Arabidopsis thaliana: one gene and its partners. The protein of the gene in region 1 interacts with the protein of each later gene in a pairwise test. Each region holds a gene or a part of one and is shown in the gene's direction. Other genes may lie near its edges.

What was found. The genes of interacting proteins can lie anywhere in the genome.
Region 2: the proteins of AT2G24860 (region 1) and MYB84 interact in a two-hybrid assay, tested with the Arabidopsis thaliana proteins (one large-scale study listed by BioGRID).
Region 3: the proteins of AT2G24860 (region 1) and AT4G22250 interact in a two-hybrid assay, tested with the Arabidopsis thaliana proteins (one large-scale study listed by BioGRID).

What each region holds. Positions count from the first base shown.
Region 1 is NC_003071.7:10,585,757-10,590,519, reverse strand, and holds AT2G24860 (DnaJ/Hsp40 cysteine-rich domain superfamily protein), read left to right. Parts: upstream 1-2,103; 5' UTR 2,104-2,279; coding exon 2,280-2,486; intron 2,487-3,072; coding exon 3,073-3,222; intron 3,223-3,324; coding exon 3,325-3,402; 3' UTR 3,403-3,877; downstream 3,878-4,763. Other genes in the region: AT2G24870 (Plant self-incompatibility protein S1 family), read left to right, coding at 946-972, 1,720-1,860.
Region 2 is NC_003074.8:18,425,690-18,430,184, forward strand, and holds MYB84 (myb domain protein 84), read left to right. Parts: upstream 1-2,045; 5' UTR 2,046-2,251; coding exon 2,252-2,387; intron 2,388-2,522; coding exon 2,523-2,652; intron 2,653-2,744; coding exon 2,745-3,411; 3' UTR 3,412-3,592; downstream 3,593-4,495. UniProt on the Arabidopsis thaliana protein: Transcription activator. Positively regulates axillary meristems (AMs) formation and development, especially during inflorescence.
Region 3 is NC_003075.7:11,766,552-11,770,292, reverse strand, and holds AT4G22250 (RING/U-box superfamily protein), read left to right. Parts: upstream 1-1,729; 5' UTR 1,730-1,963; coding exon 1,964-2,608; 3' UTR 2,609-2,838; downstream 2,839-3,741. Other genes in the region: IM (Alternative oxidase family protein), read left to right, coding at 118-326; AT4G22240 (Plastid-lipid associated protein PAP / fibrillin family protein), read left to right, coding at 3,066-3,487, 3,608-3,741.

The sequences.
Region 1 (4,763 bases):
ACAAAGAAAGCGGCAAACATATTGGAAAATCGATTAATTTGCATAAAATGTATGATTGGTTAAATTATGTTTAACAATCTACCTAAGAACAAAAAATATTTTATCTTATCATCTTGAAACAAGAAAATTTACCATTCTTCTTTTCCTTCTTCCCCTTTTCTTCTAGTTTTTATCATTCAAAAGCAATCTCATAATATTTGGTTTTAATACATTTCACAAACCATCTCTAATAACAAAATTCAAATTTCTTGAAATCCCAATTGTAATCATAAAAACTAGTCACAATGGCTATTACGAGAGGCTATTTAAAGGACAATTTCGATTATAAATCCAAAATGTAATTCAAATCCGAATTGTAATCATAAGAAATCCTAATTGTAATCAAAATTTTATCCAAAATCTATCCGTTTCACCCAAAATCAAAGAAAAAAGGATCAAACCATCAAATCTAATATGAAATAAAATCCTAATTAAATACAACACAATCAATAGAATGAAACCTTAAATAAAATCCTAATTAAACACAACACAATCAATAGAGTGAATTAAAATCTTAATTAAACACAACACAACATAATGGTTGGATCGTAAATAAGTGAAAACCCCTTGTTTTATTTGTCTTTTACTATTTTTTGGAGAAAAAAAACTAGATAAACATATTTTTTTTTTTATAATGGGAGCTAAATAGAGAATGTTTTAACCCGAGAGGCCCGAGTAGATTAAAATCCGAATTCAACCTTTTCGGCCAAGAAGAAGAAGAAGGAAATGGCGATTTGCATGTGTTGCGATTCACATCTTGTAAAAAAATCGATTATGAATCCATGGAATTTGCGGAGTAGAACGAAACTAGGGTTTGTACTGGTCGTTTGCCGTTTTCCGACTACTACTACTTTCAAGGCTTCGGCGGTGGATTCACCTGAGAGTTCTTTAAATTTCACCAAGCATATGGATCAAGCTTGGATAATCTCACAGGTTCGTATCTTTCGAGAGTTGTTGAGTTTGTTGAATTTGAGTAATCACAAGAACGTTATTACAAGAACAAAATGTATAAACCTAATTTAGTTTGTCTTTCTCTACTTAGTTGTTTATTGTACTTTACAAATTGTCTATTACTTTTAAAAACAAATACTTTATTTACTAATAGGTTACATAGATAGTATGATATGATTTATAGAATAACCAGTTTATTATTGAGGATTTTTTTATGCACAATTGAATTTCTTAGTTATCATTTGATCTTTCACATAAGGTTTAATATTATCTACAACTGGTTACTTGATTTTATCATTTTTTTCATAATTCAATATTAATAGATTTATGTATATCTAATATGATTATTATAAGATATTATGCCATTTTACATACTATGCCAACAATAGTAATACAAATGTGTGCATATATAAAATCTGAAACACAAAAGCCAATAACAAAGCAAAAATCTAAATATCTACCCAAAAAAAATGAAAAACTGTTTAGTCTTTTTTATTCGTTTTTAGTTTTTGCATGCTTGACCATGTATTCGGCTCTGGAATCAGGATCACCAACGAACTCAAATTCAATAAACTTCTCAGGATTGGATGTTATTCCAAAGATGACAAATTTGGTCCAAAAACAATACCAATCGGCAAACATGTTGAAATCAATTTTATGATTAATTTTTGGCGTACGACGCGTTTTATGTGTCATTTGGAACAAGGACCTAACTATAAACATTATCAGAAATTTACAGCATTCAAGCTTTCTGGTTTTATGGATGAAGGAGGTATATGGGACTGGAGAGCAAGAGAAGATGGAATCTATTTAGACAAAGAAGGCGGCAAACATATTGGAAAATCGATTAATATGCATAAAAGTGTATGATTGGTTAAATTAAAAATATTTAACAATCTATGTAAGAACAAAAAAAAATGTTATATTATCATCTTAAAACTAGTAAATTTATACATAGAAAAAAATTATTTTCTCAATCATATAAGCAAACCAAAAACAAACAAGCAATCTGGATTTTGTTTTGACTGTAGGAAGAATCCAAGGAATTGTAGAGGAGATAATGAGTTGGTTTAAATCATTGAATCAATCATTTTAGCAAACAAAAAGATCCAACTTTAATGGGCCCAGGGTCCAATAACCCAATTGGGTTATTCCTAGACTTTTCTCCTCCTCCTGTTGTCTTCCAATTTGGTATGCGAGAAAAATAAAATAAAATAAAAATAAGCCAAAGACAAATTTAAACCTCCGATTTCAACCTTCTCGGCGAAGAAGAAGAAGAAGAAGAGAAAATGACGATTTGCATGTGTTGCGATTCACATCTCGTAGCGAAATCGATTCTAAATCCATGGAATTCTCCTAGGATAACGAAGCTAGGTTTCGTACCAGTCGTTCGCCGTTTTCCAGCTACTACTACCGTCAAGGCTTCGGCGGTGGATTCACCTGAGAGTTCTTCAAATTTCGCCAAGCGTATGGATCAAGCTTGGATTATCTCACAGGTTCGTATCTCCAGAGAGTTGTTGATGTGTATAATTTTGTTGAATCTGAGTAATCACAAGAACTGATCCTTGATGTAGTCATGTACGAGTGAAGAGCTATATGCAATTTTGTATGAGATTAAGAACTTGGATCTGTGATGAAATGTTGTAAATTTCAGATTATGAGGTGAATAGTATCAGCAAGTTTCAAAAGGATTTGTATCGAAAATCTGTAATTGCAAAGTACCTTTTAGTTGGTTTCTAGCAAAAAATGTTTGTTCACAATTCATTTGATTTGTGCATATGATGAGAACATGTTAGCTACTTAATCAGGTTGTAGCTGTTCTCTATGATCCCTGAGTGATGAGGCTTAAGCAGGCTTATCTCGCAACGCAATGTAGTTTTGTAGCTTTGCATGTACAATTGTTGGATTCTCTGCTTTTTCTCTAATATTGCTCTTAGAGAATCTATCAAAAGTTCAGACTTTGAAGCCTTTCTTCTAGCACTTGCAATTTGATATTGAGCTCGTGTGAATTTTCTAGATGTTACTTGTTGACCTGTGTTTCGATTCAATGATTTTCTTTGTCTGTTTTTTTCTTCACTGCAGCAACCAAGTCCTGTTGGATGTTCATCGTGCAATTCAAAGGGTCATGTGGAATGCAAATGGTGTGCGGGTACAGGATTCTTCATCCTTGGTGATAACATGCTTTGCCAGGTTCCCTCAAGGAATACTTCATGTGTAATCTGCTCTGGACAGGTTTGTTATCTAATAAAAACGAAAGTGCAGACACATTATTGTGTCTTCTTGTTTATATATCTTCCCAAGTATGAACAAATTCGATTCTTTCAATGGTTTTAGGGTTCTGCTAGCTGTAGCGATTGCAAAGGAACGGGGTTTCGTGCCAAGTGGTTGGAAAAACCTCCAGTGCCAACATAACTGATGAACAAAAGCAAGTTAAGCTTTTTGGTCTTTGATGATTTCTTATGGAGGAAAAATGTTTATATATTGATTCAAGTGGAACATGAATCAGATATGCATATATCTTTATACATGTGTTAAGTATATATATGTAAGTTCATTTATTCATTTCCCCTTGTTCTGTCTGTACAACCAAAGGCCTACACAAGAGTTCTTGTAATCGACACGTGAGTTTTACGATTTCGATCATTGGAGTAGCTCAACGGAAGAACATTAGTAGCACAGGGTCACCTTCGTATTTCTTTTGATATTTTCTCGTTGTAGGGTTAAATCATGTGCATCTTCCTTACCCTTGATGAATCTGGATATGGCGTTTCTCTAATAGAATTGCGATTATCATCATCTTAGATACAGTTTGTGCCTAACAAATCCAACCTAAGCTAGTTACTTAATCATTTTCTTTTGGGGAAGTGAAAATGGCATTTGATTTCAGGATAATTCTTAACCAAAGCTGCTAAGTGAAGAACTTGTGTCAGTGTGCATTCCATTTCCCAAGTGATGAGGAAATCTTCAAAAGTGTTCATGTCTAGAGTGTAAGAGGGCACTCGAACACAGTGGTTCGCCGTTTCCTCCATTATATATACCTCTACTTTGCCCCTTTTAGTTTTACTTGTCACAAAACTTTCCAGATACATATTTACTGCACAAAAACTAAATTATTTTGAGTAAAAATTACCAACGCACCAGCAGGTTATTTTTTTTTATTTTTTTTACGGTGTATTGAAGAAAATTTCAAAACTACATAATCGTAAATAAGAGTTTTATTAAATTTTACACAATTAGATGCATTTTTTCATCTGATCCAACTTTCTATATCTCTTCTTTTTTGTGAAACTGTATTTTTAGAAAAATAATGTGTTTTTGACGGAAAATTTGGTGGATTGATTTGGGTTAACCCCTTTTGACACCCCTTAGTTCCACTAATAGTTTTTTTATCCTACACATAAATTTCTATAAACTTTTGTAATCAGATATAGTCACATACATATGGTAGTAAGAATTAACTAATAGGCTATATCTGAAAATGGAAAATGGAAACCGTCTTTTTAATAATGAGCTCAACAAGAGGATTTTCTAGATGCTTGATATAATCGAAATATTGAATACACCTAATGGCTTCAGAAAATATAATATTGTTTCTAGTTCTCATAATGTATGTTCTTGGAAGCCCAAAAAGAAAATTAAAAAAGATCTTCTCCATGATCTCCTCTTTAATTATTGTAAATGAGGTATTATACGCGCAATGTCATTCACGACGCACGCATAACCATTTGACTCTTTGATTGCGTTATACTTAACATTAAGCTATAGTTAAATGT
Region 2 (4,495 bases), on another chromosome or scaffold:
AAAGTCTGAGACATCATTGATATCTAACAATCAAAAACTAAAAAGTGAAGTATTAACATTTTAATCAGATTCAAACCAGAACTTATCAGTCATCAAAAATGTTGGCAAATAACAAATCAAACTTAAGTTTTTGGATGGAGAAAGCAAGCTAGATTCGAATCTCTAAGAAGCGTGGACTTGGACTTGTTTACGACCTGAAAAGATGTCATGATTATCTCATGATTACGAGATAATAACATGTCTTATCTACTAAACTAATCTAAAAAGTAGTGAGGATGACTTGAAACTTAAGTCTTATATGAATTATCTTTAAATATAGAAAAAGAAAGGAGATAGAGAGGTGTGTTTTTCATGTGAACAACTTTTTTTTACCTTTAGAGTACTTCCAGAAGACTTATTGGGTCCTTAATAAAAGTAGACCAAATTATTGAAGAGCTAAAAAAAAATGCCTACTCAAAATATCCAAACCTCTTCTTTTAGCCTTTTGTTTTTTTCAATATTCATACTAATGTAAACTACAATCATTGTATCATTCTATAATCATATGAATTTTTTGTCAACACCATGCATTATGCTAGTTTAAATTTAGGTGATGATATAAAGATATTTTAAGTACAAATCAATAGGGGCGATGTTCTTATGTCTTTATCTAACTTTATGAATTTGTGTTTTATATATTATGAAAAATTGGAAAAGAAGAGATGGCCTACGCTCAAGACCAATTCCTACCAATGGGCAATGGTGTTGAAATCTGAACAAAAAAATTTCCTTTCTTTAACGTTAGCTTTAAAGTTCAAAAAACTTTATTTACTTTTTCAGTGATAATTCTGTATAAAATAACATATAACAATGAGGAAAAAACTCAATAATTTGAATCGCTTATGACTTTATTTCTCCAAGTGCTTGACTTTTAAAACCCTAATGTCCAATCTCAACTAAAGTCAACCTTTTTCGTTCGTCTAGAAGAGTCAGTCATTAAGTTTCAATTGAAGTATACAGTAAATTATTAGTACTTTTTATTTTATTTTAACCACAGTTCATTGGCTGTATGAGATTTCTGTTCAAGAAAACATATAAATCGAAACCAAAGCAAAAGACATTATTTGCTTCGGTTTCTTCTACTCAAGCTCATTTTTAGTAAAACTAAATTGTATTTTCATTTTCTTAAAAAGTTAATTGTTTTTTTTGTAAAATCAGTTTTACCAAATTGGACACAATAATGAATATATGTCTATGTCTAGTTTTTTTTAGCTCAGAATATATCTTATGTGAATAGAATCGTCTATCAGATATTTTTGTGATGCAGATAGAACTTACCGTTATAGAATCATTTGTAGATTGTTCATCGTGATTGTTAAGATTAGATTCCCATTTGTAATATAACAGAAACTCGAAAAGTACTTATATTAAGTATTAACGATGTATCATGTGACCAAAATAGAAAATACTACGTAATGATATGATTATTAAGCGAGTGTGTAGGTAATTCAAATATTTCAATTAATCAATCTTTGATATCACTCTTTAGAGTAATGTATTATCTTTCTTATTGTTTTACCCTGGGATTAATAAGTTTACCGGATCCGGAGTAGAATTTCTTCGGTTTGGCAATTTTGTTCACCTACCATAACGAACTTTTACCCTTATACTTAGTTTCAATCTACTTTTGGTGCATCCTTTCATTTTCAACTGCAAAGAAGTAGTTAAAAGATCCAATACATAATATATTTAATTTATCATAAGTAACTTAGTGTAAAGAAAGACTAAAGTACTTTTTAAAATATGTATTTGTATTTCCCGATGTGAAAGAAAAGAAAATTGAATTTGCACATATCAATAATATTAGCTAGGAAAAAACTTGTGAGAAATTTCTTTGACGACTTGCGTGTGCAATAGTCTTCCTTATCTTCTCTACCATTTCTTAATTCCACTATTGTATAGTATTTACTTATGTTGAATTAATAAATTAAAACATTTAAATTTCCCTAAAGTTACTTTTTGATTTTTGATTTTCTATTTTTATTACAACTTTCCTACTTTTTGACATCTTTTCTTACAAAGACTTTTTGACATCTCCCCCTCCAGCTATTATATAGTCTCCTTTTTTCTTTTCTGCATTCACATAATATTTCCCCTATATAGTTTACACAACATCATACCCACCAACATATATAATCTTGATCATAGAGAGATAAACAGAGGCCGCTATCAAGAACAAGACTAAGAACAAGACTTCACTAGGAGTACAAGTATGGGAAGAGCACCGTGTTGTGACAAAGCAAACGTGAAGAAAGGGCCTTGGTCTCCTGAGGAAGATGCAAAACTCAAATCTTACATTGAAAATAGTGGCACCGGAGGCAATTGGATCGCTTTGCCTCAAAAGATTGGTATTAATAAATTTATAGTCACTCTTTTTCATATAAATTTGATAATTCTCTCTTGATCTATCTCTTTTTTTGTGAAGAAGTATTGATAACTAAAGATGCTTTTTGTTTATATGATTATTTCTTGGTTGTTTTAAGGTTTAAAGAGATGTGGAAAGAGTTGCAGGCTGAGGTGGCTTAACTATCTTAGACCAAACATCAAACATGGTGGCTTCTCTGAGGAAGAAGAAAACATCATTTGTAGCCTTTACCTTACAATTGGTAGCAGGTACTATTCATATACGTTATTCATGTATATATCGTTAAAATATCATGTGGAAACTCTGAAATATAGTTATGTGATGATGTCTATAATTAAAGGTGGTCTATAATCGCTGCTCAATTGCCGGGACGAACAGACAACGATATAAAAAACTATTGGAACACGAGGCTCAAGAAGAAACTCATTAACAAACAACGCAAGGAGCTTCAAGAAGCTTGTATGGAGCAGCAAGAGATGATGGTGATGATGAAGAGACAACACCAACAACAACAAATCCAAACTTCTTTTATGATGAGACAAGACCAAACAATGTTCACATGGCCACTACATCATCATAATGTTCAAGTTCCAGCTCTTTTCATGAATCAAACCAACTCGTTTTGCGACCAAGAAGATGTTAAGCCAGTGCTCATCAAGAACATGGTCAAGATCGAAGATCAAGAACTGGAGAAAACAAACCCTCATCATCATCAAGATTCAATGACAAACGCTTTTGATCATCTCTCTTTCTCTCAACTCTTGTTAGATCCTAATCATAACCACTTAGGATCAGGCGAGGGTTTCTCCATGAACTCTATCTTGAGCGCCAACACAAACTCTCCATTGCTTAATACAAGTAATGATAATCAGTGGTTCGGGAATTTCCAGGCCGAAACCGTAAACTTGTTCTCAGGAGCCTCCACAAGTACTTCGGCAGATCAAAGCACTATAAGTTGGGAAGACATAAGCTCTCTTGTTTATTCTGATTCAAAGCAATTTTTTTAATTATAATAATATATTATTCTTAAGATGAAACGTACATCATTATTATTAATTGGGGGTACGTAACGTATATATGGAATAACGATCTAGTTTGTTTAAATTTATTGATATCTCATATATCTGGATTTGAAATTAACTCTAATATGCAGAAGTATGAACTCATATGCGAAAGATCCTAGCGAAGTAATCACATTTAGATAAACAAAATTTGTTATTGTTACTTTTTTTTTTTTTTTTAAAGTAAGAACGTGTAATATGCATGTATGTATATATGTATGGATGCCTATGTGAAAAGAGTTAACACTTAAGAGTATATTGTGCATGATGTGTTACGTTTCCATTATGTATACAATATGATAATACATAAATTTACACGCATAATATACCTATTGGGCGCAAAGTTATACACATTTTAAAATGGGAAAATATTAATGGTGCTTTTGGGGCCTTGGCATATGAGCTGATTATATATGGTCGGATCCATATGTACGTGGTTGGATGTATTGATTGTATATATGCTTCTTTAATTGATTGTATGTTCATCCTACTTTTTCGAATAATTTATGTTTACCTCAATGTCGGATTGTGCGAAGCATTTAGCTGGAAACCATTGATGTTAATAATAAGTAAGAATTAACATAGATGGATTTATAAGGATATAAGAATTAATACCTAACCATTTGACCAATGAAAAGTTTGGATCACCAAATAAATGAATTGTGTGCAACTCTGAACTTCTCAAAGACATGACCTCTCTATTCCTAGCAAGTCACTAGTCTGTTTCTTATTTCCTCACAGAATCAAATGATGATGTCATACGAAAATTCTCTTTCCCTTACGAGTTTGGCACATTCGTTGCCTATTCAAAAATCAAATCAAATTTAGAAAGTCCTAAAATGACACTGTCGCTTGAAATATACGTATAAAAACTCTCGCTTCAAAAAATCTTTTGTTGATCAAACAATCCATTCAGTACTAGCTAGAAGGCTAGTTAGAAGTAGACTAGACTTCACGGTTCAATTAGATATTATCTTTGATCTTCATATATTCATGACTCATGAGATGATATAGGACAAATGAGATGATA
Region 3 (3,741 bases), on another chromosome or scaffold:
TGAGATTCTGTCTTATGTTTGTATGGAGGAAGCATTATTCACAGTTTGTGACTTACTTTGATGTTAAAATAAGAATCTATATAACGTTTTTGTTGTTTTGTGATTACGGTTGGGCAGAAAATCTATACGATGTGTTTGTGAACATAAGAGATGATGAAGCAGAACACTGCAAGACAATGAGAGCTTGTCAGACTCTAGGCAGTCTGCGTTCTCCACACTCCATTTTAGAAGATGATGATACTGAAGAAGAATCAGGGTGTGTTGTTCCTGAGGAGGCTCATTGCGAAGGTATTGTAGACTGCCTCAAGAAATCCATTACAAGTTAATAAATTAGAAAGTAAACTAAAAAAGATTATTTGTATCAGCTCATGAACAATAGATATAATCCCATATACTTGGGAATAAAGGAATAATGTGAAATTCCCATCGTTGTGCTAGTGTGTGAGAGAATCAAATACCCTAATGATGTAAATGTACTTTGATGAGCTTAAGTCGTTGTAGACCATTTTATCCATACTACTAGCCTTTGTGGTTGCATTGTCGGTTTCTTCAATTCTTATTTCACAGGAGTAAAAAAAATGTTTAAAAGTACAAAATCATTGAATGTATCATTCTCTCAAAAAGCATATTGGTATTAGCGTTTAGAATCTCTATATCCCACACTTTTATTTTTATTGGTTTTGTTGGGGAGAGTGTGGCGCAAAGACGACGTCGTCTATGCGAACATTTCACGTGGGAAAAGCCTTGATTCATGCGCCTTCTTTAATTTTTCTTCTTTTTTTTTTTTTTTTTTTGTCTCTTCTTTGCCTTTCACTTTTTAAAATGATTTTCCGCGGGTTTAATAACAAAAATGTTTTCCCGCCAGAAAGGTTTTACCAAAAAACCATGTTCCGGTTATAGCACAGGTAAGAGAATTCATCAGTCTAGTATAATTAGCAGTAATCAAATTCGAATACTTTGATCGTCGCTTTTATTTCAGAGTTAGCGTTACATTAATAGTACCTTTATTCGATTGATGATTTGTTTAATCTTTAATAGGGTTTGAACTCCGATGGAGGACCTTTTTTGTTGGTAATATTCCCTTCGTTTCACAATATAAGTTGTTTTAACTAAAAATACGTATATTAAGAATATTTATTTTTAAAATGTTCAACCAATTATAAAAAAAACTGTAGAATATAAATAATCATAAAGTATTAAAATAATATATAATTTGCATAGAAACTTGAAAACAACTTATATTATAAAACAAAAAATTTGGTATAAAACAACTTATATTATGAAACGGAGGGAGTATAAACTTAAGTACTAATTCGATTTTGTTTCTATTCGAGACCTTGAAGACTTTTTTATTTAATTTTAAAACTAAGTCGTACAGTTACAGAAACAGCATTAAATTTTTCCTCTTAAGTAAATTTATTTTTTCTCTTTCTATCAGAAATTCAGAAGAACTAACATTATAGTTGCCCCCATTGCGTACACTGTACATCATTTCTCGGTAAATTACACATAATTATAAGTTGATTAACCTTTTAAGTTTTAAACAATGATGTAAGTAACTTATTAAAAATTGGTTTTTAAAAATTGAAAGTTATATACTCAAGTTGGAAAAATATTTTACAAATATACTCGATTCCACTACTACTGTAATTTTGTGTGGAATACCAGTCAAACAGAATCGTTATAACTGTTAAAAATTAGTAAAACTGTATAAAGTAATTTTAATTCGCGGGAAATCAATATTCGGAAGCAACTTTAACAAAAAAAATAAAGAAATGTGAAGAGAAAAAAAAAACTCTGAAAACTTCCTTTATAATGTCATCATCACTGCGAGACCCAAAGATCTAAACAGTTTCTCTCTCTCCCTCACAGGGCTCTCTCATGGCGGAGCTAATCTGTCTATTTCACTGGTGATTCTGTTTCACTATCTGAGAATTTGTTTAGAGTTTCCGTTACCGAGTCGATGATGAGTGAACTCGATCTCGGAACGAGTCAGAGGATGACGGAAACACACCGCACGACGACGACGTTTCTTGATTTGCTCCGACGACAGATGAGCGGTCACGATCTCACCAGAAGGAAACGGACGTTAAAAGAACGGTTGAGATTCAAATGCATCGGATGCTGTGGTCCAACCTGGAATCTCCGTCTAACTAACAACACCACTCTTCACAGTCCAACCTCAAGAGACGACGAAATCGAAGAGTTACAAATTGAAACCGGACTCGTTCTCGAATCGGATCATGGATCGGGTACGGGTATGAATCTCGCGACAGCGTTAGAAGCGGAGAGGTATAACCGTGGAGAATCGACGGAGGCGGAGGCAGATATGACGCCGAGGAGAGTTTCGTTGATGAGATTGTTGGAAGAGACGGCGGAGAAAATCGTTGATGACGACGGGAAAGAAACGGAGATATTAACGGCGTCTATTGGGACGTTAACGGGTAATGATTCGGTGTGTTGCGTGTGTATGGGAAGAAAGAAAGGCGCTGCGTTTATTCCATGTGGTCATACTTTTTGCAGAGTGTGCTCTAGAGAATTGTGGCTGAACCGTGGATCGTGTCCTCTTTGTAACCGTCCGATCATTGAGATACTCGATATTTTCTGAAAACGATCGGACGGCTAAAAGTTCTCGATCCACGTGAGTAAGTGAGGTGATCCCTAGATACGTTTCCAAAGTTTTAACTACGGTTTGTGTACTTTGTACGTTTCTTTTGGTTATTGAAGAAGATGATGTAAATGCAAAAAAGAATACAAGAGGTTTTTTGTTCACGAGGCCCATTTAGTCTATTCAAGCCCAGTAAACCGTTATTTTGGATTTTATCTAGCCTAAACAATGCTCGCCTCACACCGTCGAGTGGATTCTTGGCCGTTGATCTTGTCTCTCACGTGGCAGTATCGTAGTCGAATGTACATGATCTATGTGGAATAGTCGATATTATCCCTCTTGGTGTGAGTTTGGTAGTTGATGAAAGCAAAACATTTACGTAACAATGTCTATAAAATCAGTACAGGTCTATTCTTGTTCACTAGCTTCGAAATTTTAGTCGAAGAAACAAAAAAAAATGGCGACGGTACAATTGTCCACCCAATTTAGCTGCCAAACCAGAGTTTCAATCTCACCGAACTCTAAATCTATCTCCAAGCCTCCGTTTCTGGTACCGGTGACCTCAATTATTCACCGCCCGATGATCTCCACCGGAGGAATCGCTGTTTCCCCCCGTAGAGTTTTCAAAGTCCGAGCCACAGATACGGGAGAGATAGGATCAGCTCTATTGGCGGCGGAGGAAGCAATTGAAGACGTGGAAGAGACGGAGCGGCTAAAGAGATCGCTCGTGGATTCGTTGTACGGAACAGATCGAGGTTTAAGCGCATCGAGCGAAACCAGAGCTGAAATCGGAGATCTAATCACACAGCTCGAGTCTAAGAACCCTACTCCAGCTCCGACGGAAGCTCTTTTCCTTCTCAACGGCAAATGGATCCTCGCGTAAGTTTTTTTCCGGTGAAAACTTTCTCTTGTAGTCCTGTAGATAGCATCATTCGTAGGATTCTGGATTCAAATGGTAGATCTCGTGCTGCTTTTGATTTGGTTAAACCTCTTTTGCAGCTACACATCGTTCGTGAATTTGTTCCCGTTGCTATCACGAGGAATCGTACCGTTAATAAAAGTCGATGAGATCTCTCAAACCATTGATTCAGATAACTTCACCGTCCAGAACTCTGTTCGTTTCGCTGGTCCTT